Linked DNA regions of Xenopus tropicalis. The protein of the gene in region 3 interacts with the protein of the main gene of each other region in a pairwise test. Links are inferred from orthologs where the notes say so. Each region holds a gene or a part of one and is shown on either strand. Other genes may lie near its edges.

Evidence for each region. The genes of interacting proteins can lie anywhere in the genome.
Region 1: the proteins of hsd17b14 (region 3) and cdkn2d interact in binary tests that used the Homo sapiens proteins (3 or more experiments, as listed by UniProt). The two-hybrid records come from large-scale screens. The link is inferred for Xenopus tropicalis from reciprocal best matches to the Homo sapiens genes HSD17B14 and CDKN2D.
Region 2: the proteins of hsd17b14 (region 3) and mpg interact in binary tests that used the Homo sapiens proteins (3 or more experiments, as listed by UniProt). The two-hybrid records come from large-scale screens. The link is inferred for Xenopus tropicalis from reciprocal best matches to the Homo sapiens genes HSD17B14 and MPG.
Region 4: the proteins of hsd17b14 (region 3) and ca8 interact in binary tests that used the Homo sapiens proteins (3 or more experiments, as listed by UniProt). The two-hybrid records come from large-scale screens. The link is inferred for Xenopus tropicalis from reciprocal best matches to the Homo sapiens genes HSD17B14 and CA8.

Annotation. Positions count from the first base shown.
Region 1 is NC_030679.2:138,209,134-138,214,741, forward strand, and holds the start of cdkn2d (cyclin-dependent kinase 4 inhibitor D), read right to left. Parts: upstream 3,484-5,608; 5' UTR 3,256-3,483; intron 1-3,255. UniProt on the Homo sapiens protein: Interacts strongly with CDK4 and CDK6 and inhibits them.
Region 2 is NC_030685.2:40,629,472-40,634,955, forward strand, and holds the start of mpg (DNA-3-methyladenine glycosylase), read right to left. Parts: upstream 3,484-5,484; 5' UTR 3,454-3,483; intron 3,318-3,453; 5' UTR 3,124-3,317; coding exon 3,100-3,123; exon of another isoform or gene 3,051-3,099; intron 2,181-3,050; coding exon 1,971-2,180; intron 1-1,970. UniProt on the Homo sapiens protein: Hydrolysis of the deoxyribose N-glycosidic bond to excise 3-methyladenine, and 7-methylguanine from the damaged DNA polymer formed by alkylation lesions.
Region 3 is NC_030683.2:114,406,471-114,410,541, forward strand, and holds the start of hsd17b14 (17-beta-hydroxysteroid dehydrogenase 14), read right to left. Parts: upstream 2,801-4,071; 5' UTR 2,714-2,800; coding exon 2,611-2,713; intron 185-2,610; coding exon 149-184; intron 1-148. UniProt on the Homo sapiens protein: Catalyzes the NAD(+)-dependent oxidation of L-fucose, yielding L-fucono-1,5-lactone, which rapidly converts spontaneously to L-fucone-1,4-lactone. Can also act on D-arabinose and L-galactose, with lower catalytic efficiency. Does not use NADPH.
Region 4 is NC_030682.2:116,895,175-116,900,717, forward strand, and holds the start of ca8 (carbonic anhydrase-related protein), read right to left. Parts: upstream 3,484-5,543; 5' UTR 3,466-3,483; coding exon 3,390-3,465; intron 1-3,389. UniProt on the Homo sapiens protein: Does not have a carbonic anhydrase catalytic activity.

The DNA.
Region 1 (5,608 bases), on a different chromosome or scaffold from region 3:
GGGTTAAAGGTAGGAGTCTGGGAGCCATTTAGGTTCCAGTAGTCTTACAGCAGCCCCTCTGGCATTTGCCTGAACCCACAGATTGCCAGTCCGGGCCTGATTTTCAGTACACAGAGGCCCAAACAGCCCCCCCATAGGCCCAATAAATAGTGTGTGTCTATGGCACCTTACAGCAGCCCCTCTGGCATTTGCCTGAACCCACAGATTGCCAGTCCGGGCCTGATTTTCAGTACACAGAGGCCCAAACAGCCCCCCCAGCAGCCCAATAAATAGTGAGTGTCTATGGCATCTTACAGCAGCCCCTCTGGCATTTGCCTGAACCCACAGATTTCCAGTCCGGGCCTGATTTTCAGTACACAGAGGCCCAAACAGCCCCCCCATAGGCCCAATAAATAGTGAGTGTCTATGGCACCTTACAGCAGCCCCTCAGGCATTTGCCAGAACCCACAGATTGCCAGTCCGGGCCTGATTTTCAGTACCCAGAGGCCCAAACAGCCCCCCCATAGGCCCAATAAATAGTGACTGTCTATGGCACCTTACAGCAGCCCCTCTGGCATTTGCCTGAACCCACAGATTGCCAGTCCGGGCCTGATTTTCAGTACACAGAGGCCCAAACAGCCCCCCATAGGCCCAATAAATAGTGAGTGTCTATGGCACCTTACAGCAGCCCCTCTGGCATTTGCTTGAACCCACAGACCAAGGCCTGGATAGGATACAGGCACGCAGGAAGGAAACAGTGACGGGCTGTGAGATGGGAATAATATAATCACAGAGGGAAAGCAGAGAGTGAAGGTTCCCCCGGGACACTGTGCCAAATCAGCAGGGTTACAGAGAGTGTCGCCAGGAATAATCACTAAAGCGGAACTAGGGCCAAGTTTTGGTAACTGAGATGCCACACAGCTTTTTTCATACCACTGGCTACTCTCAATATCCTGTGACAGGTACATACAGTGGGACATGTAAGTGACAGGGAGAGGCAGTGGGGTGTGGGTGGCAGGAGAATACAGGGGGGTGTCAGTAACGGGGCAGGTAGAGGGGGATGTCAGTAACGGGGCAGGTAGAGGGGGATGTCAGTAACGGGGCAGGTAGAGGGGGATGTCAGTAACGGGGCAGGTAGAGGGGGATGTCAGTAACGGGGCAGGTAGAGGGGGATGTCAGTAACGGGGCAGGTAGAGGGGGATGTCAGTAACGGGGCAGGTAGAGGGGGATGTCAGTAACGGGGCAGGTAGAGGCGGGGGATGTCAGTAACGGGGCAGGTACAGGGGGATGTCAGTAACGGGGCAGGTACAGGGGGATGTCAGTAACGGGGCAGGTAGAGGCGGGGGATGTCAGTAACGGGGCAGGTACAGGGGGATGTCAGAGAGAAGAAATACAATGAGATATCAGTGATAGGATACAGTAGGATTTCTGTGATGGGGATTTAGTGAAAGGGACACAGAATAAGATGTCACAGACGGGGGGGCACAGTGACACAGAATAAGATGTGAGTGACAGGGGATACAGGGAGGGGTCAGTGACAGGGGGATACAGGGAGGGGTCGGTGACAGGGGGATACAGGGAGGGGTCGGTGACAGGGGGATACAAGGAGGGACAGGGGGATACAGGGAGGGGTCGGGGACAGGGGGATACAGGGAGGGGACAGGGGATACAGGGAGGGGTCGGTGACAGGGGGATACAGGGAGGGGTCGGTGACAGGGGGATACAGGGAGGGGTCGGTGACAGGGGGATACAGGGAGGGGACAGGGGGATACAGGGAGGGGACAGGGGGATACAGGGAGGGGTCGGGGACAGGGGGATACAGGGAGGGGTCGGGGACAGGGGGATACAGGGAGGGGACAGGGGGATACAGGGAGGGGTTGGTGACAGGGGGATACAGGGAGGGGACAGGGGGATACAGGGAGGGGTTGGTGACAGGGGGATACAGGGAGGGGACAGGGGGATACAGGGAGGGGACAGGGGGATACAGGGAGGGGGTTGGGTGACAGGGGGATACAGGGAGGGGACAGGGGGGATACAGGGAGGGGACAGGGGGGATACAGGGAGGGGACAGGGGACAGGGGGGACGGGGGATACAGGGAGGGGTCGGGGGGATACAGGGAGGGGTCGGGGGATACAGGGAGGGGACAGGGGATTACAGGGAGGGGTTGGTGACAGGGGGATACAGGGAGGGGACAGGGGATACAGGGAGGGGTTGGTGACAGGGGGATACAGGGAGGGGACAGGGGATACAGGGAGGGGTCGGGGGGATTACAGGGAGGGGTCGGGGACAGGGGGATACAGGGAGGGGACAGGGGATACAGGGAGGGGTCGGGGGGATACAGGGAGGGGTTGGTGACAGGGGGATCCAGGGAGGGGACAGGGGGATACAGGGAGGGGACAGGGGGATACAGGGAGGGGACAGGGGGATACAGGGAGGGGTTGGTGACAGGGGGATACAGGGAGGGGACAGGGGGATACAGGGAGGGGACGGGGGGATACAGGGAGGGGACGGGGGGATACAGGGAGGGGACGGGGGGATACAGGGAGGGGTTGGTGACAGGGGGATACAGGGAGGGGACAGGGGGATACAGGGAGGGGACAGGGGGATACAGGGAGGGGTTGGTGACAGGGGATACAGGGAGGGGTTGGTGACAGGGGATACAGGGAGGGGACAGGGGGATACAGGGAGGGGTTGGTGACAGGGGGATACAGGGAGGGGACAGGGGGATACAGGGAGGGGACGGGGGGATACAGGGAGGGGACGGGGGGATACAGGGAGGGGACGGGGGGATACAGGGAGGGGACGGGGGGATACAGGAGGGGTCGGGGACAGGGGGATACAGGGAGGGGTCGGGGGGATACAGGGAGGGGTCGGGGGATACAGGGAGGGGTCGGGGGGATACAGGGAGGGGACAGGGGGATACAGGGAGGGGTCGGGGACAGGGGGATACAGGGAGGGGACAGGGGGATACAGGGAGGGGTCGGGGACAGGGGGATACAGGGAGGGGACAGGGGGATACAGGGAGGGGTCGGGGGGATACAGGGAGGGTCGGGGGGATACAGGGAGGGGTCGGGGGGAGGGAGAATACAAAGTGATAGAAGTCAATGGCAGTCACAACACGGAGAAGGAGGGCCGCGCCAGTTCGGTGCCAGTCAGGGGAACGTTCCCCAGACACACACAGAGCGGCTTCCGTTACTGTTGCAGCCGGTGACAGATGATGTTGCTGCTCCCCAGCCGGCTCCCCCTGCCACACACAGAGCCCCCACCTTACCCACCTTATATACCCGCCTTCCCGCGCTGACACAGGTGCTGAACACGTGACCCGCTGCCCGGCAGGTGAGAGACGCGCAGTCAGAACCTTCAACGGGCGCAGTCCGAGTCGCGGCGGATCGCAGCCTGTCGCTTGTTTTCGGCCTCTGACGTCACCGCCCCACGTGGTACGCGTGTTATTTTTTTTAAAAAAGGCAACTGTTGTGCCGTCGTCTCTTTGTGCCCATTGGTTTTGCCGGACGCCGAGGCCCCGCCTCCTTGGCCATTCCAGCCAATAGAAATGACAGCTGCCAGAGGGGCTCGCCGTTGCTAGGCGGTAACCCGCAGACTGACGCAGAGTATGCAACCAATAGAAAAAAAAAGAGAGGAATGGGTGGGTCTTGAGAGAAATTTTAAAAAGGAGGGGCGGGGCTACTAGCGGTTCTGTGTGTGAGGTGAGGGGGTCAGGCTGGAGTCAGCAGTACGGTAACCTTAGCTTCACCTCCGGCGGGACGTGCTGTTTGTGTTTAAATGCAGCCTCTGCTTCCTATAGGCAGCCTGTACCGTCCCATGGGGTGAGTGTCAGTGTGAGTGTGTCAGTGTGAGTGTGTCAGTGTGAGTGTGTCAGTGTGAGTGTGTCAGTGTGAGTGTGTCAGTGTGTGAGTGTGAGTGTGTCAGTGTGTGAGTGTGTCAGTGTGTGAGTGTGTCAGTGTGTGAGTGTGTCAGTGTGAGTGTGTCAGTGTGAGTGTGTCAGTGTGAGTGTGTCAGTGTGTGTGAGTGTCAGTGTGTGTGAGTGTCAGTGTGTGTGAGTGTCAGTGTGTGTGAGTGTCAGTGTGTGTGAGTGTCAGTGTGTGTGAGTGTCAGTGTGTGTGAGTGTGTCAGTGTGTGTGAGTGTGTCAGTGTGAGTGTGTCAGTGTGAGTGTGTCAGTGTGTGTGAGTGTCAGTGTGTGTGAGTGTGTCAGTGTGTGTGAGTGTGTCAGTGTGAGTGTGTCAGTGTGTGTGAGTGTCAGTGTGTGTGAGTGTGTCAGTGTGTGTGAGTGTGTCAGTGTGAGTGTGTCAGTGTGTGTGAGTGTCAGTGTGTGTGAGTGTGTCAGTGTGTGTGAGTGTGTCAGTGTGTGTGAGTGTCAGTGTGTGTGAGTGTCAGTGTGTGTGAGTGTCAGTGTGTGTGAGTGTCAGTGGTGTGTGAGTGTCAGTGTGTGTGAGTGTCAGTGTGTTGTGAGTGTCAGTGTGTGTGAGTGTCAGTGTGTGTGAGTGTCAGTGTGAGTGTCAGTGTGTGTGAGTGTCAGTGTGTGTGAGTGTCAGTGTGTGTGAGTGTCAGTGTGTGTGAGTGTCAGTGTGTGTGAGTGTCAGTGTGTGTGAGTGTCAGTGTGTGTGAGTGTCAGTGTGTGTGAGTGTCAGTGTGTGTGAGTGTCAGTGTGTGTGAGTGTCAGTGTGTGTGAGTGTCAGTGTGTGTGAGTGTCAGTGTGTGTGAGTGTCAGTGTGTGTGAGTGTCAGTGTGTGTGAGTGTCAGTGTGTGTGAGTGTCAGTGTGTGTGAGTGTCAGTGTGTGTGAGTGTCAGTGTGTGTGAGTGTCAGTGTGTGTGAGTGTCAGTGTGTGTGAGTGTCAGTGTGTGTGAGTGTCAGTGTGTGTGAGTGTGTGTGTGAGTGTGTGTGTGAGTGTGTGTGTGAGTGTGTGTGTGAGTGTGTGTGTGAGTGTGTGTGTGAGTGTGTGTGTGAGTGTGAGTGTGAGTGTGTGTGTGTGTGTGTGTGTGTGTGTGTGTGTGTGGTGTGTGTGTATACAGGGAATACTACATGGCAGCTCCCTCAGCGCAGACACAGCCAACAGGGCAAGATGGAGGCAGAGATGCTTTATGTTAGTAACCTAGTCTCCTCTCCCATGTATAGCGCAAGGGCATCAGGGATACTGGGAGCTGCTGTTAAACAGTACGTTTGGCCCCATTGCCCTCAATCTAAAGCTGCCCATACACCTACTGATAAAGTTGCATGAAACTTGGGCCGGTGTGTGGGCTCTGAATGGCCGATCGCTCGTTTAGCTGATACCGCAGGTTATAGAATTCCCATCTGATAAGGATAAAATCTCCGTGTGTATCTGATTATATCCTTGGGGGCCATTAATGGGAGTCATTTTCGTACGGTCGGTGTCTGCCAACTAATTCATGTTCCGAACATCCTCCCATTTGTTATTCTTTATCAGGGTCAGACTGGGGGTGTCCCTGCCGGCCACTTCCCCCACAGAGCCTCCCTAACTCCCATCCACAGGGGCCCCCACAGAGCCTCCCTAACTCCCATCCTCAGGGGCCCCCACAGAGCCTCCCTAACCCCCATCCACAGGGGCCCCCACAGAGCCTCCCTAACCCCCATCCACAGGGGCCCCCACAGA
Region 2 (5,484 bases), on a different chromosome or scaffold from region 3:
TTTTTTAAAACAACGTAGTACCTACGTTTTTGGCAGGGAAAAGGTTAATGGTACATTCTCTACTTGGAGTAAGGTTCTCAGTGGGGTCCCTCAGGGTTCTGTACTGGGTCTACTTTTGTTTAACTTGTTTATAAATGACTTAGGGGAGGGTATTATAAGCTATGTAGCAGTGTTTGCAGATGACACAAAACTCTGCAGACCAGTCAATTCTATCCAGGATGTGGCATTCTTGCAGCAGGATCTCCAACTGGCAATCTGGGCGGCTAAGTGGTAGACGAAATTTAATGTGGATAAATGTAAGGTCATGCACCTGGGATGTAAAAATATGCAAGCCACTTATACCCTTGACTTATGAACTTGGCTGTAGCAAACGCCAGGCAGCAGCTGCAAGGGCAAACGAGGTTTTGAGCTGTATTAAAAGGGGTATAGATTCACGGGAGGAGGGGGTTATTCTTCCCATTTACAGAGCGCAGGTAAAGCCCCATCTAGAATATGCTATTCAGTTTTGGTCTCCAGTGCTCAAACGGGACATGATTGAGTTAGAGAGGGTCCAGAGAAGGGCAACTATGCTGGTAAAGGGTATGGAAGGTCTCGGTTATGAAGAAAGACTGGCCAAGTTGTTTACACTGGAGAAGAGGCGCTTAAGAGGTGACATGATAACTATGTATAAATATATAAGGGGATCATATAATAACCTCTCTAATGGTTTATTTACCAGTAGGTCCTTCCAATGGACACAAGGGCACCCACTACGTTTAGAAGAAGGGAGGTTCCATTTAAATATTCGGAAAGGTTTTTTTACTGGGAGAGCTGTGAAGTTGTGGAATTCCCTCCCCGAATCAGTTGTATTGGCTGATACATTATACAACTTTAGGAAGGGCTGGATAGCTTCTTAGCAAGTGAGGGAATACAGGGTTATGGGAGATAGCTCTTAGTACAAGTTGATCCAGGGACTGGTCCGATTGCCATCTTGGAGTCAGGAAGGAATTTTTTCCCCTCTGCGGCAAATTAGAGAGGCTTTAGATGGGGTTTTTTGCCTTCCTCTGGATCAACTAGAAGTTAGGCAGGTTATATATAGGCATTATGGTAGAACATGATGGACGTACGTCTTTTTTCAACCTAACTTACTATGTTACTATGTAATTCCTGCCATAAAGGAAATTATTTCTGTTCTAAAATTATTGTACTTTATACAATACTATGCATTCCTTTTTTAACTAAAGTAAACAACAGTATTCCTTAAAGGAGACATTTTATATAAAGTTCATATTCAGTTATAATATTCATCCTCCCTCCCCTTCCTATCCTCCTCAGTGTGAAATGATGCAGAAAGAAAGATGTTTTGAAAGCATTTTACCTCCTAAAACTGCCATTATGAGAGCTGCATACACAAGCTCTCCAGTCGGAAGCCAGAGCCAAATGAGACATGGGAGTGTCCTTCAGTCTCCCACAGGAAGTGGTCACAGCACTGACTGACAGGCTTTACTCAACAGCAGCAGGGAAAACCCCTCCCTCCTTCTGTGTCTCTCTGCTTGTGTTGCTGCGGGGGGGGGGGGGGGAGAAGCGAGTAGAGCAGGAACGGACTGTCTGTGAGCTTGCTAAGCCCCGCCCACTCTATGAATATTCATTTCACTTTAAGTAGGTGAGGTGGTGTCATTGAAGTCTATCTGGGCCGGCGGCTCTGAGCCATATACTGAAGAGTCTAAACCGGAAGCTGGCATAAGGTCTGGGTAGAGCACAGTTTTCAAGCAGTTATGGACATATTTGAACCCAAAGGTATTAAAATAAAAGCACTTCCTTCTATTTTACATTGTTTAGTGCATTGTAAAAATTTATGGTATATATCCCCCTTTAAATCAATACATGAGCGTACAGGCATTTGTCTATATTTTAACTAAATATAAATCTGTTATCACACAAAATCATGCATATATCTATATATATTTAGCACTTCTGTCTCATTATATTACCTGTCCCAGAAAGGATTTGGCCAGTTCAGTACACGGTTGATTATAAAACTCAGAGAGAAGATGAATCCCAGGATTTTGGAAATATTTGCTGATCTTTGGCTTCTGCTCTTCACTGTATGAAGAAGTTTCATGCTTTTCTGTGCTTTCATGCAAGATCATTTTACAGGGGGCATTATTTAATATTTGTACTCGCTGACGTTTTCTAGGCATCTGTTAAACAAAATGAGACCTTGCTAAAATCACTTGGTGATACCTTATGCCACATACCTCCTCCGCCTGGAATGCACTGTAATGCATAAAAATTGTTCAATACAAAGTAAGCAACACTCATGGGAATAGTTCAACATACATTTTTAAATGCTGCTTTGAATTATGCAAAAAACTCTTTTAGGTGGAGGGCCCCTTTAATTTTAACATTTTACACATCTCTCCCTCAAATCACCCGCCTACTCTCACTCTGCTTCACACTTCTTTTAACACGTGGTGGCCATACATGTAGCAATTTCGATCGTTCCCACCCTCCACGGACGTTCAGGACTGAATCCGTCAGATATGGAGGGAGAAACAACAGACCTTTCAACATTCTACCTCCTTCTGCCGATTCAGCCCTGAACGTAGATTTTGCTCAGGCACCTGCAATGGCACCCGATCAAAATCTTTTAACTTGGCTGATCGCTGAGTCGACCGATATCCGCAGCCTTTTGCGATATCGGTCACCTCGTTGAGCCCCCATACACATACCGCATATCCTACGAAACTTGTATGTATGGCCAGCTTTAAACTGTGTATTTTCCCACCTCCTTCTGCTCTATTATGTATTTATTTTCTGTTTTTTACTGCTTTAGTAGCATAACTACCATAAATCACCCAGGTTTTCCTGGGCAGTTGAAGGGTACCAATATCTCACCATAAACCTGTGTTTTTCTCCGTATCATTTCTCTTGTCTCGTGTCAACTTTTGTACTGCTCTTGTGCCAATATTTATTTTTTTTACCAAAGTGCTATTCTCTGCATGATCTCACATGTGCTCCTGTCTATTTCCCCAACCTTCTCCCATTTTGTATTCTGATTTCTATCTCACCTCTCCGCCTCTATAGATTTCATTGTATGTATTTACACAGTTTCCATACCCTCTGTAATGCTACAGTTGTCATTCTCACTTGTCAGTTCACAGGCCTTCCTTCTTCCTGCGCCAAAACGGAACGCCGCTGTAGCGCTTGTTAGGCCCGCCCTTTTGCAACTCCGTGTTGCAGCTCCACCCCTTCAGCCTTGTACCAGCAGGCAAATAGCAGAAGGCGGCAGAGTTGGCAGTTGTGTGAAAAGTTCAGATTGGTCGAACAGCAATAGGCTGGAAAATTAAACCAGAGAAGAGGGTAGAGTAAAGTGTTGTCAAAGATGGGAACAGCGGTGTTCGGCTCTATTATGAAAACTAACAGCACGCATTGAAGGCAGCATTTAATGAAGTTGGGAATACGGGCACCTACCGTCAGTCCTTTCAATTTCGTGCATTACCGTTTCCTGTATTGCGCATGCCTCGAATTCGCGCAGGAATTTTTGGTTTAAAAAGCTTGGCTGTTTTCTAACCATCAAGGATGGTTGTTGTGCGAATTCAACTCGATTTTATATACAAGGATACCAATATTATTAAAAATATTTGTTGAAATCAATATTTTAGCAGTTTTTGAACAACGTTTTACTTACACATTAAGCACGTTATTCGCTTTGACATATGATCAGTGGGCTCCCACTGATAATGTACATATTACACAGGAGAATGGTCATATCTATTGTGGTCAAGCAATGTCCACCAATATTTGACACACACAGTACTGGGCATCATGGCTTATAAGCATCCCCTTATTGTTTGATACTGAAAAATAGCAATTTGAACTAGAAAAGGAAGCTTGAGAACAAACTTCATGTTGTTTTGAAAAACATGTGAAGTCACTGAATGAAATCTGATTGGCTGTTGTTGGCTTCACCCAGTTTTTCTAACCTTGGACCACAGTCATATAGTAAAAAACACTGTGCAAAGTTTGGGGACCCTAGTTTTAATAGTGCAAGAATGGCAGCAATATCAATTTTTCCACTGAAAGTCAATGAGTGACAACAGATAGGCATCACCCACCGTGGCATAAATACATGGCCAAAATTGTTGGCACCCCAGAAATTTTTGCAGAAAATCAAGTATTTCTCATAGAAAAGTATTGCAGTAACACATATTTTGCTATACACATGTTTATTCCCTTTGTGTGTATTGGAACAGAACAAAAAAGGGAAGAAAAAAGGCAAATTGGACATAATGTCACATGACTGTAGTGTTAGAATGACAGCATTTTAATATAAACCAATGAAATTCAATGGATGACATCTGATTTGCTGTTGGTTGCCCTGCCCACTTTTTCTATTTTTGAACTGCAGTCACTAAGTGACTAACTGTCCAAAGTTTGGGGACCCTGACGTAAAAATTGTGGCACTGACAGCATTTTACATTTTGCCATTGAAAGTCAATAGTTATTGGCTGTTGGTGGCTCAGTCTAATACCCAGTGACTAACTTTGCAAATTTCAACAACCTTGGAATTAATGCTTAAATAATGGCATCAGTTTAAATATAAACCAGTGAAAGTCAATGTGAGCTCTAATTTGGCTGTTGGTGGCTTCGCCCAGTTTTGCTAACCTTTAACCTTAGTTCCCCAGTGAACGTATGAGAATGGCAGCAGTTTAAATTTTGAAACCAGTGAAAGAAATGTAATTGACTTTTTCTAACCTTAAAGGAGAATGCAAGTCAAAATTTAAAAAGCATACTGCCCAATAGTCCTCCTATTGTTTAGTAAAAACGCAACACTTTTGGCTCACCTAATCAAATATTTACTCAGTCACACTTACTTCACATTTTCTAGAACAGGCAGCCATCTCTAAAAAGGTATTCTCCCTTCCTTTCCCTCCTTGCTTCATACTGCACATGTGTTTCATTCCCTCCCCCCCTGCCAGATCCGCTTCTGATTGGCTGGTGGGCATGTGTAGCTCAGAACAGCAGACAGGATCAAGTTACACATATGCTCAGAGAATAGGAAGGCTGCCGCTGGCACCTACAGGAAGGGGAGAGAGATTTCAGTGATGTCACTGTAGTCTTCACACTGCTGTAGGCTGCCAGCACCATATCTCAGAGAAGCAAGCAGGGATCTGGGAATTTAGATGTGCAGTAAGTACTTAAAAAGAATGGCCTTTAGACTTACTTTTAATTTATATTAACCTTTCATTGTCCTTTAAATTTGTAACAACCCAGTGACTGACTGTTTGAAGTTTGAGAACCCTGGCTTAAATAGTGTGAGTGGGAGTGTTTTAATTAAAAAAACAGTAAAATTCAATGGATGAAATCTGATTAGCTGTTGGTGGCCTCGTCCACTTTTACTGACCTTGATCTGCAGTCCATCAGTGACCTACTGAAAAGTTTGGGGACCCTGGTATTAATACTGTGAGAAAGACAGCAGGTTAAAATTCCCCATTGAAAGAT
Region 3 (4,071 bases):
TAGGGTGTAGGAGCAGAGAAAGCAGACCCAGCAGTTGCTCGCTGAGGGGGGGCAGGGATATAGGAGACTGGTCTGGTGTGTGTGTGTGTGTGTGTGAAAAAGACACATTTCCCCAAGACGTGGGAGATTCCTATGAAGAGTTCCTTACCTTTCGAGCAGAAGACCACCCTGGCGCCACTCTTTACTGCAGATACGAACAGAAGGGGCACAAAAGAGAGAAAAGAGTCAGTGCTACAGGCACATACATGCAGTATCTATGGTAAATGGCTGCTGCTGTATTGTAACACACTGAGGATCCATAGTAACACATACATGCAGCAGGATTGGATTTTGGGCTTGAGAGAGCCTTTTGTCTCCACAGTGGGGACTTCTCCTAAAGCAGGGCCCACAACCTTTCTTTCCCGTGAGCCACAGTCAAATGTAAAAAGACTTGGAGAGCAACACAGGCACCATAAAAGTTCATGGAGGAGCCAAATAATGGCTAAGATTGGCTATTAGGCAGCCTCTATGCACACTATCAGCTTACAGGGGCTTTATTTGGTAGGAAATCTTGTTTTTATTCAACCAAAACTTGCCCCCAAGTCAGGAATTCAAAAATAACTCCCTGGTTTGGGGGCACTGAGAGCAACATCCAAGGGGTTGGGCAGCAACATGTTGCCCCCGAGCCACTGGTTGGGGATCACTGGCCTAAAGCTGCTATTAGTGCCATGTGGATGCACGCTGCAATGTTTGGCGACTGGTTTAGCCTGAGATCAGGAGCCTTAGGGTAGGAGAGGCCCAAATTGTGTCCTTCTAGCACCTAGAAACTATGACTCCCTCTTTCTTTGCACTGCAATTAGAACAGGCTTGGTGTGACGAACCAGAAAGCTTTTCTTCTATTTCCTAGAAAGAATAATCAGTCACCTGTCCCTTATTACCCACACCTAGCAGTAATGCCCCCCCTATAGTGGGTACTTAGTTACTTCCCAAAGACTAGGGGGTCTGGATGAATGAGCCCCATAGTCAACGAAGTAAAGAAGATATGAAAAGCCCAAAGCAAGCTGATAACCTCCGTATTGCGTGGGTCATTATAAAGGGTATAGTACATTCTACACGACAGAGCGCCAGAGAGGGGGTCGAGCCTACACAACCCATCCCCACAGTAATAACAGGAGAAATCCTGCCCTCTGGACTTTGAGCTGAACAGAACAACCCAACCAAACAAAATGTATGTGTAACTTGTCCTTCTGCCAAGTCAAGCCAAACAAATAACACATCCAGGGCAATGTACAGATGTTGCTGGGCCCCACTATGTATACAATAGTGACTGTTTGACTGTCATTGAATTATAAGTCCCAATAAGGTGGGTGCCAGTTATACCTCGAAAAGAGCCCAAGGGGCATATATTGGGCAATGCTAATATAAAGTGCAACTGTCTGCATCTCTTCCTTCTGCTCCCCGTTCTTTTTACCTACAGCTGCTGCTCTGGCCCTACAATGTGCAGGGTTGAGGGCCATTACCCTTGCTTCCCACCTCAAGCTTTGTTGGTGTGATTAACCTGCCGACCCTCAAAATCTAACAGAAAAGTAGTAATAAAACTCCATAGGGCAGAACTCAGTTGTGGATATTGGCTGAAAATGCATCAATACAACAACATCTGGATTCTAATTTTTAGATTCGTTTTTAATTGGCCTATAGCGCTAGGATGACAGCAACAGCAAGCTTCATCCAACAAGACTAATCATAGACTTAGTTATAAATACAGGAGACAGGGTTAAACCATCTTGGCTGAAATACTGAAATTAAGGCTAGCTCCATATCCTTTTAGAGCAACAATGGGCACATCCACAAAGTTGGTGGAAATCCTTAATGATTCTCAACACAATCCATTTTTAGTATCACTATAATTGTGCTGCATTGGCTTCTTAGCACTTTAGTTCCACTTGGACATTGGGCATTTGTTGAATGCCAGTTCATAGCATATATATATATATATATATATATATATATATATATATATATATATATATATATATATATATATATATACAGTATATATAAATACATTATCCACAATTCTTCATAAACCTCAGTTGTAAAGTGGCAAAGTGCCACTTTATGTGAAGGGGTCATGGTAACAATCCCCTATAAGCACAGAGACCCATTTTTGAGCTTTGAGCACTGGATTCAGAACCATTGCCTTACTCATTTGGCTCCACTCTAGTTATAAATGCATTGAGGCGCTGCACTAAACCAGTAGAAAAGTGTGGTACTGGCGCTAAATAGGGATGCACCAAATCCAGGATTCGGCCAAGATTTAGTCTTTTTCAGCAGGATTTGGGCGAATCCATGCCTTTGGCCAAACCAAATCTGAATCCATGACGTTTTGTCACGTAAATATGGAAGTTTCTCTTTAACCTTTACTTTGCTTGGTATTCGGCTGAATCTTTTGCAAAGGATTCGGGGTTCAGCCAGACCCTAAAAAGAGGATTGGGGGCATCCCTAGTAGAAGAATGCAGGTACCCCAGTGCCCAGGGCTGCTTTATGCCACTGCCCATATACACAATAATAAATAAAAGGCAGATACATTGGGATTTAGTTATAAACTTTAGCAGCAAACTGAATCCTTACCAAACTCCTTGACCATTGCTTCTCCGATGCCCTTGGTGCCCCCCGTTATGACTGCCACCCTGTCACGGTACCGCAGACTCAGCTCTGCCCCACTGGCAGCCATGGTGCTTCTCCTGCGAGGAACCCAGTAGCAGTGCCCAGAGCTGCAGGGAGCAGAACTTCAGTCACGCTCTGAGCAGCTGATCTAACAGGAAATAAGTTGGCTGAGCTCCAGGCCCAGGGAATTATGGGGGGCGTAGTCCTGAGAAGCCAGTGTTAAGAGTTATGTGGAATCCCATTGTTTTGTATGGAGAGGAAGAAATCTGCTCCGGCAGGGTGTGTATCTGTGCAGCCTGAGAATTACCTGCTAATCGATTAACAAGCAAAGACAGGCTAATAAAGCATTTATTACTATATAATGAATGTACCCGAATGGTTGGATACAGGAACAGGGAATATTTTACATTTGAGATATTGAATTAAAGGGACAGTATATCCCTAAAAACATATTTGCTAAATATTAGCACATCAAATAGGACTTATGCTAAAATTACATTCTATTGTTTTAATTAACAAAAATAAAAATTTTCCTATTTTTTGCCATTATAAAGCACTCAAAGCAAAAGTTGCTTGGTAAATCATCTTGGCATGCCATTGTCCTTATCCACTAAAGTACAGGTATGGGACCTGTTATCCAGAATGCTTCACACCTGAGGTTTTCCAAATAAAGGGTCTTTTTGTAATTTGGATCTCCATACCTTAAACCTAATAAAAATCATTTAAACATGAAATAAACCCAATAGGACTGTTCTGCCCCCAATAAGGGGTAATTATATCTTCGTTGGGATCAAGTACAGGTACTGTTTTATTATTACAGAGAAAAGGGAATCATTTAACCATTAAATAAACCCAATAGGGCTGTTCTGCCCCCAATAAGGGGTAATTATATCTTAGTTGGGATCAAATACAGGTACTGTTTTATTATTACAGAGAAAAGGGAATCATTTAACCATTAAATAAACCCAATAGGGCTGTTCTGCCCCCAATAAGGGGTAATTATATCTTAGTTGGGATCAAGTACAGGTACTGTTTTATTATTACAGAGAAAAGGGAATCATTTAACCATTAAATAAACCCAATAGGGCTGTTCTGCCCCCAATAAGGGGTAATTATATCTTAGTTGGGATCAAGTACAGGTACTGTTTTATTATTACAGAGAAAAGGGAATCATTTAACCATTAAATAAACCCAATAGGGCTGTTCTGCCCCCAATAAGGGGTAATTATATCTTAATTGGGATCAAGTACAGGTACTGTTTTATTATTACAGAGAAAAGGGAATCATTATAACCAAACCTGGTACTATTTTCTAACACCAATATGTTAATAAATATCTTACAATTATGGGAAGAACTAAAATGAGGAGTGTTTAGGGCACAATGAGCAGATCCAAAGAATGTACTGGGTGTAATAGAAAGGGGCA
Region 4 (5,543 bases), on a different chromosome or scaffold from region 3:
GCTTGATTCTGCCTATAGGACTTGGCCATTTGTGAGCCCATCAGAACTATCACAGGAAATAATTAGCAGGACCCATGACATCTTGGACTGCAGCAAAGAACATTATTACCTTTCTTTTTAAATTATTATATTTGGCTTTCTATTGCTTTTTCATGATTTTATTCCCACCATAAAGATATAAATCTAAAGTTAGTCAATCTTGCAACATCTTGTTTTAAATCCTGTATAATATTTGTTTGCAACTCTTCTTGGGAAAAGCCTTAGTAACAAAATGCCTTTTCACATTTTTATGTATTTAAAGCAGGTCAGTGTTACGGGGCACTCCATCCTCTCTTATCTGCCCTCAGCAGCACAATGGGCACTAGTTCATTGTCATAAATGGTGCTAAACTGCCCAGAATGCAAGGGGACAATTCTGCTTAGAATGAATCCCTTTTTTTTTTTTACAAAGTGCATTAGGTAATAGAGCTCCTATAGCAGAATCCTGCATTCAAATCTATTTTTCAAAAGAGCAAACAGATTTTTATTTTTGTTCAATTTTGAAATTTGACATGGGGCTAGCCATATTCTTCATTTCCCAGGGTGCCACAGCCATGTGACCTGTGCTCTGATAAACTTCAGTCACACTTTACTGCTGAGCTGCAAGTTGGAGTCATATTACCCCCTCCCAGCAGCCGATCAGCAGAACAATGGGAAGGTAAGAAGATAACAGCTTCCTGACATCTGCATTGCTTAAAATGCTCCCTTGCCCCACTTAGTTGTAGATATGAGAATAGCACAGTAACACCCCTAGTCCAGCCATGACTCCTCCAGTTACACTGAGTTGAAGAAACAATAGTTATTAGGCACAATGCACTGAGATGGCTGCCTACACACTAATATTACAACTAAAAAAATATATTTATTGGTTAAAAAATAAAATGTTAAATGGTAGAACATGCAGTGTATGCAACGTACACATGTGCAATGGTACTTGCAATGTATATGGTGTCATTTAGTGGTAACACCATACACAGTCACATATGGTAGCACATAGCTACACTAGTATTTATTGAAGTCAGTATTTAGGTCGTCTTTCATGTATTTAGGGGAAAGCTTGCCTGGTGCAGTCCACACTTGTGTACAAATGAACATCACTGTATATTGTTCTTTTTTTAATTAATGAAATGTTTTTTTGTTGATTTAGAAAAGAAGCAAGTGATAAAGAAACAGTGATTTCAGCTGCACCACCTTGTCATTAAGGGCTCTGGCACACGGGGGAGATTAGTCGCCCGCGACAAAACTCCCTGTTCGCGGGCGACTAATCTCCCCGAGTTGCCATGACCCGCCATCCCACCGGCGAACATGTAAGTCGCCGGCGGGATGGCACACGTGGCAGCGTGATTTCGGGAAATCGCGCTGCCGCGCCCTGCCAGAGCCCTTATGCCACTGGAACAATTTACTACTATTTTTCCTTGACGGGTGCAACAATTTTTTGATGCGTGCCTTTTTACATGTTTCACAGTTTTTTTGCCATTTCACTAATCTTTTCAAAGTTTTGCAAATTTTTCACCGAAGTGACATGGGACAGACTTGCTCATCACTATTTACTACTGTAGGGCTGCTGAAGCTCTTAGCTGCAACAGAAATTCTGTATATAAAATACAGCATGTGTAGCTTTATTTATGTAGTTATCCCTTTAAAAGAACTGGCTATAAACCCCTAGGCCCAGGTTGGCTGAGATGTACTGCCACCCTGTGAAATGAGTTTGCTAGAAGCAGATATATCTACTTGAGAGATAACATTAAGATGATCTCTCCACCTGTTTTGCTCTCCCCGCCAAGTCCACCCTGTAATCAGCCCTTATCAGAGACACAATAATAGGATTGCACTAATTAGTGGAACGGTATCTTTCTGGACAATCATCCAGTACATACTGGCTTTTAATCTTAGATTAACCATATTAAATTACCAGGATTTGGATTCACTACAACCTGCTTTGGTACGATTAGGGTGAAGACACTAATGCTGATCATTTACTGATAATTGTCTCTACGTGTGTTTTAGCAGAGGCAATTCTCAGTATTGTCTATGGCAGGGTATTTTCTGGAGTTTAGTAGCCATGACAAGTAGCTACTAAGTAGCTCTGTGTGTCTTCACCCTTACACACACAAGCAAAAGTGATTTTTAAAAAAAAAAACTTGCAAACAAAATATTTAAAAAGAGCATAGCAATACCAGCATTTGGGACTAAAAGCTAACTAAAAATAATACTGCATGGCCTCATTTGCAAAGACCCTACTCATTTAGTAAGCACTTGTGTTCAGGACTTCGCTTCACTTTGCACCCCATGCCAGTGTAGGGCAGGAGGTAAGGACAGAGCTCTCTTGCATCCTGCACCCACTGGCTACCTGAGTTCCAAAACTTGCATGTCTGGATGGCCTGTGTGCCCCACAGCCCACCCTTATGTATACAGTGATGTATCAGTGTCTAACTTTATTTATTAAGCACTTTAGCAAAGCCAAAAGCAGTCAGCGATGTATTTACTGAGGGAAGTGTAGGTTCTGTCACTACCTGTAAACCTGTAGCTATGGTGTAAAGTGGTGGGTGAGCAGGTGGGTGAAAGGGGCTACAGAGGAGCTGTGGGCTACACACACCCTAGTCTGACCCTGGTCTGTGCCCAATTTTATGCACATTATACCATGGAGGAAATGACTCCTTAAATCTCTTATAGTTATACTGATCATTTATATTCTATAAGACTCAAGCCTGCTTGATTTAAACCATGCCCTATTCTTGTTTGTTTGTATTTCTACATTCTCCCCCTTCAGCTTCTAAAGATGCTGTTGACACTGCTAGTATAGCTTATCATAGATTCTATATATATATATAATGTGACATAAAGTGTCAATATCACTTTAATGTTACACCATGCACTGTTATGTTATATGAGCTTACTCTCAGTAATGTGACAACAAAGTAGCCTGGAAATGAAGGGGGAGCTTATTTATATCCAGCAAACTTAGATGGCAGTTAGTCCCACTGGGAAGCCTAGATTGCTCTATACAGTGCCCAGACACAACTAGTGCTAAGTGCCTATATACACCAAACCTATGCACTGTATGAGCCCAACTGAAAGATGGAACAGCAGCTATGTGTTCATTGTATTTGCAGATAAAATAGTTCTAAACAAAAGTGTCAGTTTATATACGGGATGGAAAGTTAACTCGGGAAGAAGACAAATCTCCCAGGTGTTTATTACTGCTGAGGTTTAACCCATGTGGCAATCAGATAGCAGAGCCCCGGTATAACGCTTGGGAGCAAGTAGCGCCAGAGAGCGCAGCGTAGGGACTGGAGGGCTCCGATGCGCACACAGCGCCTGGGTTTAAATCGCTTAGCGAATCGCTCTTACCTTCTTCATAGCCCCATTCCTGGTTCTCTTTTTCCCCTTGTACAGCCTCGTCCTCTATATAGTGTTTGTCAGCCATGGGATCGCTGTGGCCTCCTCCTCCCCTCCTGCTGTATGGGATGTGCCAGGCCGGGCTAGCGCTCTCTCTACTTGTGCCCCAACTCAAGTGCCCGCCCTCCGCCCAGAGGCACCGGGACCTGTCTGAGCGCACAGCCCGGGGAGATGGGCAGGACTGGCAACAAGTGTAGGGATGGGATTTACTCTCAGCCCCTACTGACTATTAGAACCTCTACTATTACAGGGAAGCGCTGTCATTTTAAACGTTTCGGTCACAGGTGGTGAGTGACCAGAACGCTGGATACCAATAAAATACTGTTTTTGTACTAAAGAGCTGCAGAGTGCCGCCCTTCTGTACTTTTATAGACTTTGTTAGCACCAAGGCACCTGGACACAGAGTAGAGTGCTTCTCTTAGGATAATGTTTACATATAGCTGAAAAAAGTGTTATCTGCAATGCTATCCCAGATAAAGAACCGTTCCACAGTTTGTATCACCAGTCTGTTAAAAAGAATCAATAAACCCAATAAGATTGATTCCCCCCAATTAGGATTTATGCAGATTAATTGCCATCAAGTACAAGGTGTAAATTGTTTGTTTAATCTGGACTTTATGGGACATGGCCAAGGTGCAATTTTAAACATTCTGGATAGGGTTTCTGGATAAGGGATCCCTTAAGCAATGAAATATGTATAATACACTGGGGCAGCTGGGTGAATATACAGAAGGAGGATAAAATTACTGTTCTGAAATATCAGGGAGTCTCATACTTGTACCCAATCAGTCTGTTTTAATAACTGCACAGGTGTATGGTATGTGTGGTATGTGTAGCTAATGTTTAGCCAGGTGTCTTTATATTGTAAAATGCCTCAGCTGTATATCACATTTATTGAACATACTAAGGGGCCCATTTATCAAAGTACGCTTGAATCCGAATCCCAAAAATTCTAGTTGTTTTCGTACTGTGCGTATTTTCACCAATTCGTTAGACATTTTTGTACTGTGCATCAAAATTTATGCGACAAAATCATATTTGTTGCAACGAGTATGAAAGTTTCGGATTCATTCAAGCTTCGGTATTGTGATTTCCTTAGGCCAGGTTGGAGCTGCCATTGAGTCCTATGGGAGGCTTCCAAAAACATGCACAAAGTCAGAAAGGTTTTCCCGCCGTTTTCAATTATTCGGTTATGAAAATTTTGTGACTTTCGGATCGCCAATACGATATTATCGTGACTAATACGATTTTTGTGACATTTCCGATCATCAGAAATTATTGTATCTATTCCGAATTTTACCCATTTCGGGATTCAAACTCGTTCTTTGATGAATCAGCCCCTAAGTGTCTGCCCTCTGTTTGTGTTCATTGCAGAGTACATTGCACCAAAATAAGTGTTTTAAAGCAATTAAAATATAAAGTACTGTTGCCCTGCACTGGTACAACTGGTGTGTTTGCTACAAGGGGAACTTCTTTAGAGATGTATAAGGGGTACGAATGCAGCCCACCATGAGGCACTCAGCGAGAGGTTAGGACAATGATTCCCAACCAGTGGCTCAGGGATAATATGTTGCTCCCCATCCCCTTGGCTGTTGCTCCCAGTGGCCTCAAAGTAGGTGCTCACTTTTAAATTTCTGGTAAGGAGGCCAGCTTTGGTTGCATAAAAATCCAGTATAATGCCAAACAGAGCCTTCTGTTGGCTGCCAGTCCACAAAGGGGCTATTAAGTAGCCAATTAAAGCTCTTATTAGCACCCCCAGGAAACTTTTTCATGCTTGTGTTGCTCCCCAACACTTTTTCCATTTAAATGTGGCTCACAGGTATAAAAGGTTGGGGATCCCTGGGTTAGGAGAATGATAGTTGAGGTAAGTGCATGGCATGCATCTGGAGGGTGCAGTTAGGGGCGCCTGGAAGGTGGGGTGGGGTGTGGCCAGTCCAGAGGATGTTGGGGGAGCCAGGTGTAAATCTTGCACCAGGGCCCTTACTTTTTTAGATACACAACTGGACTTTTGTTTGGGCGCATCTCTGCTTTAAAAAAGCCTTTCTCCCTTAATACCCATAGTTAAGTGATTTAATGTTTACTAGTGTATTAATAACTGGCACTTTA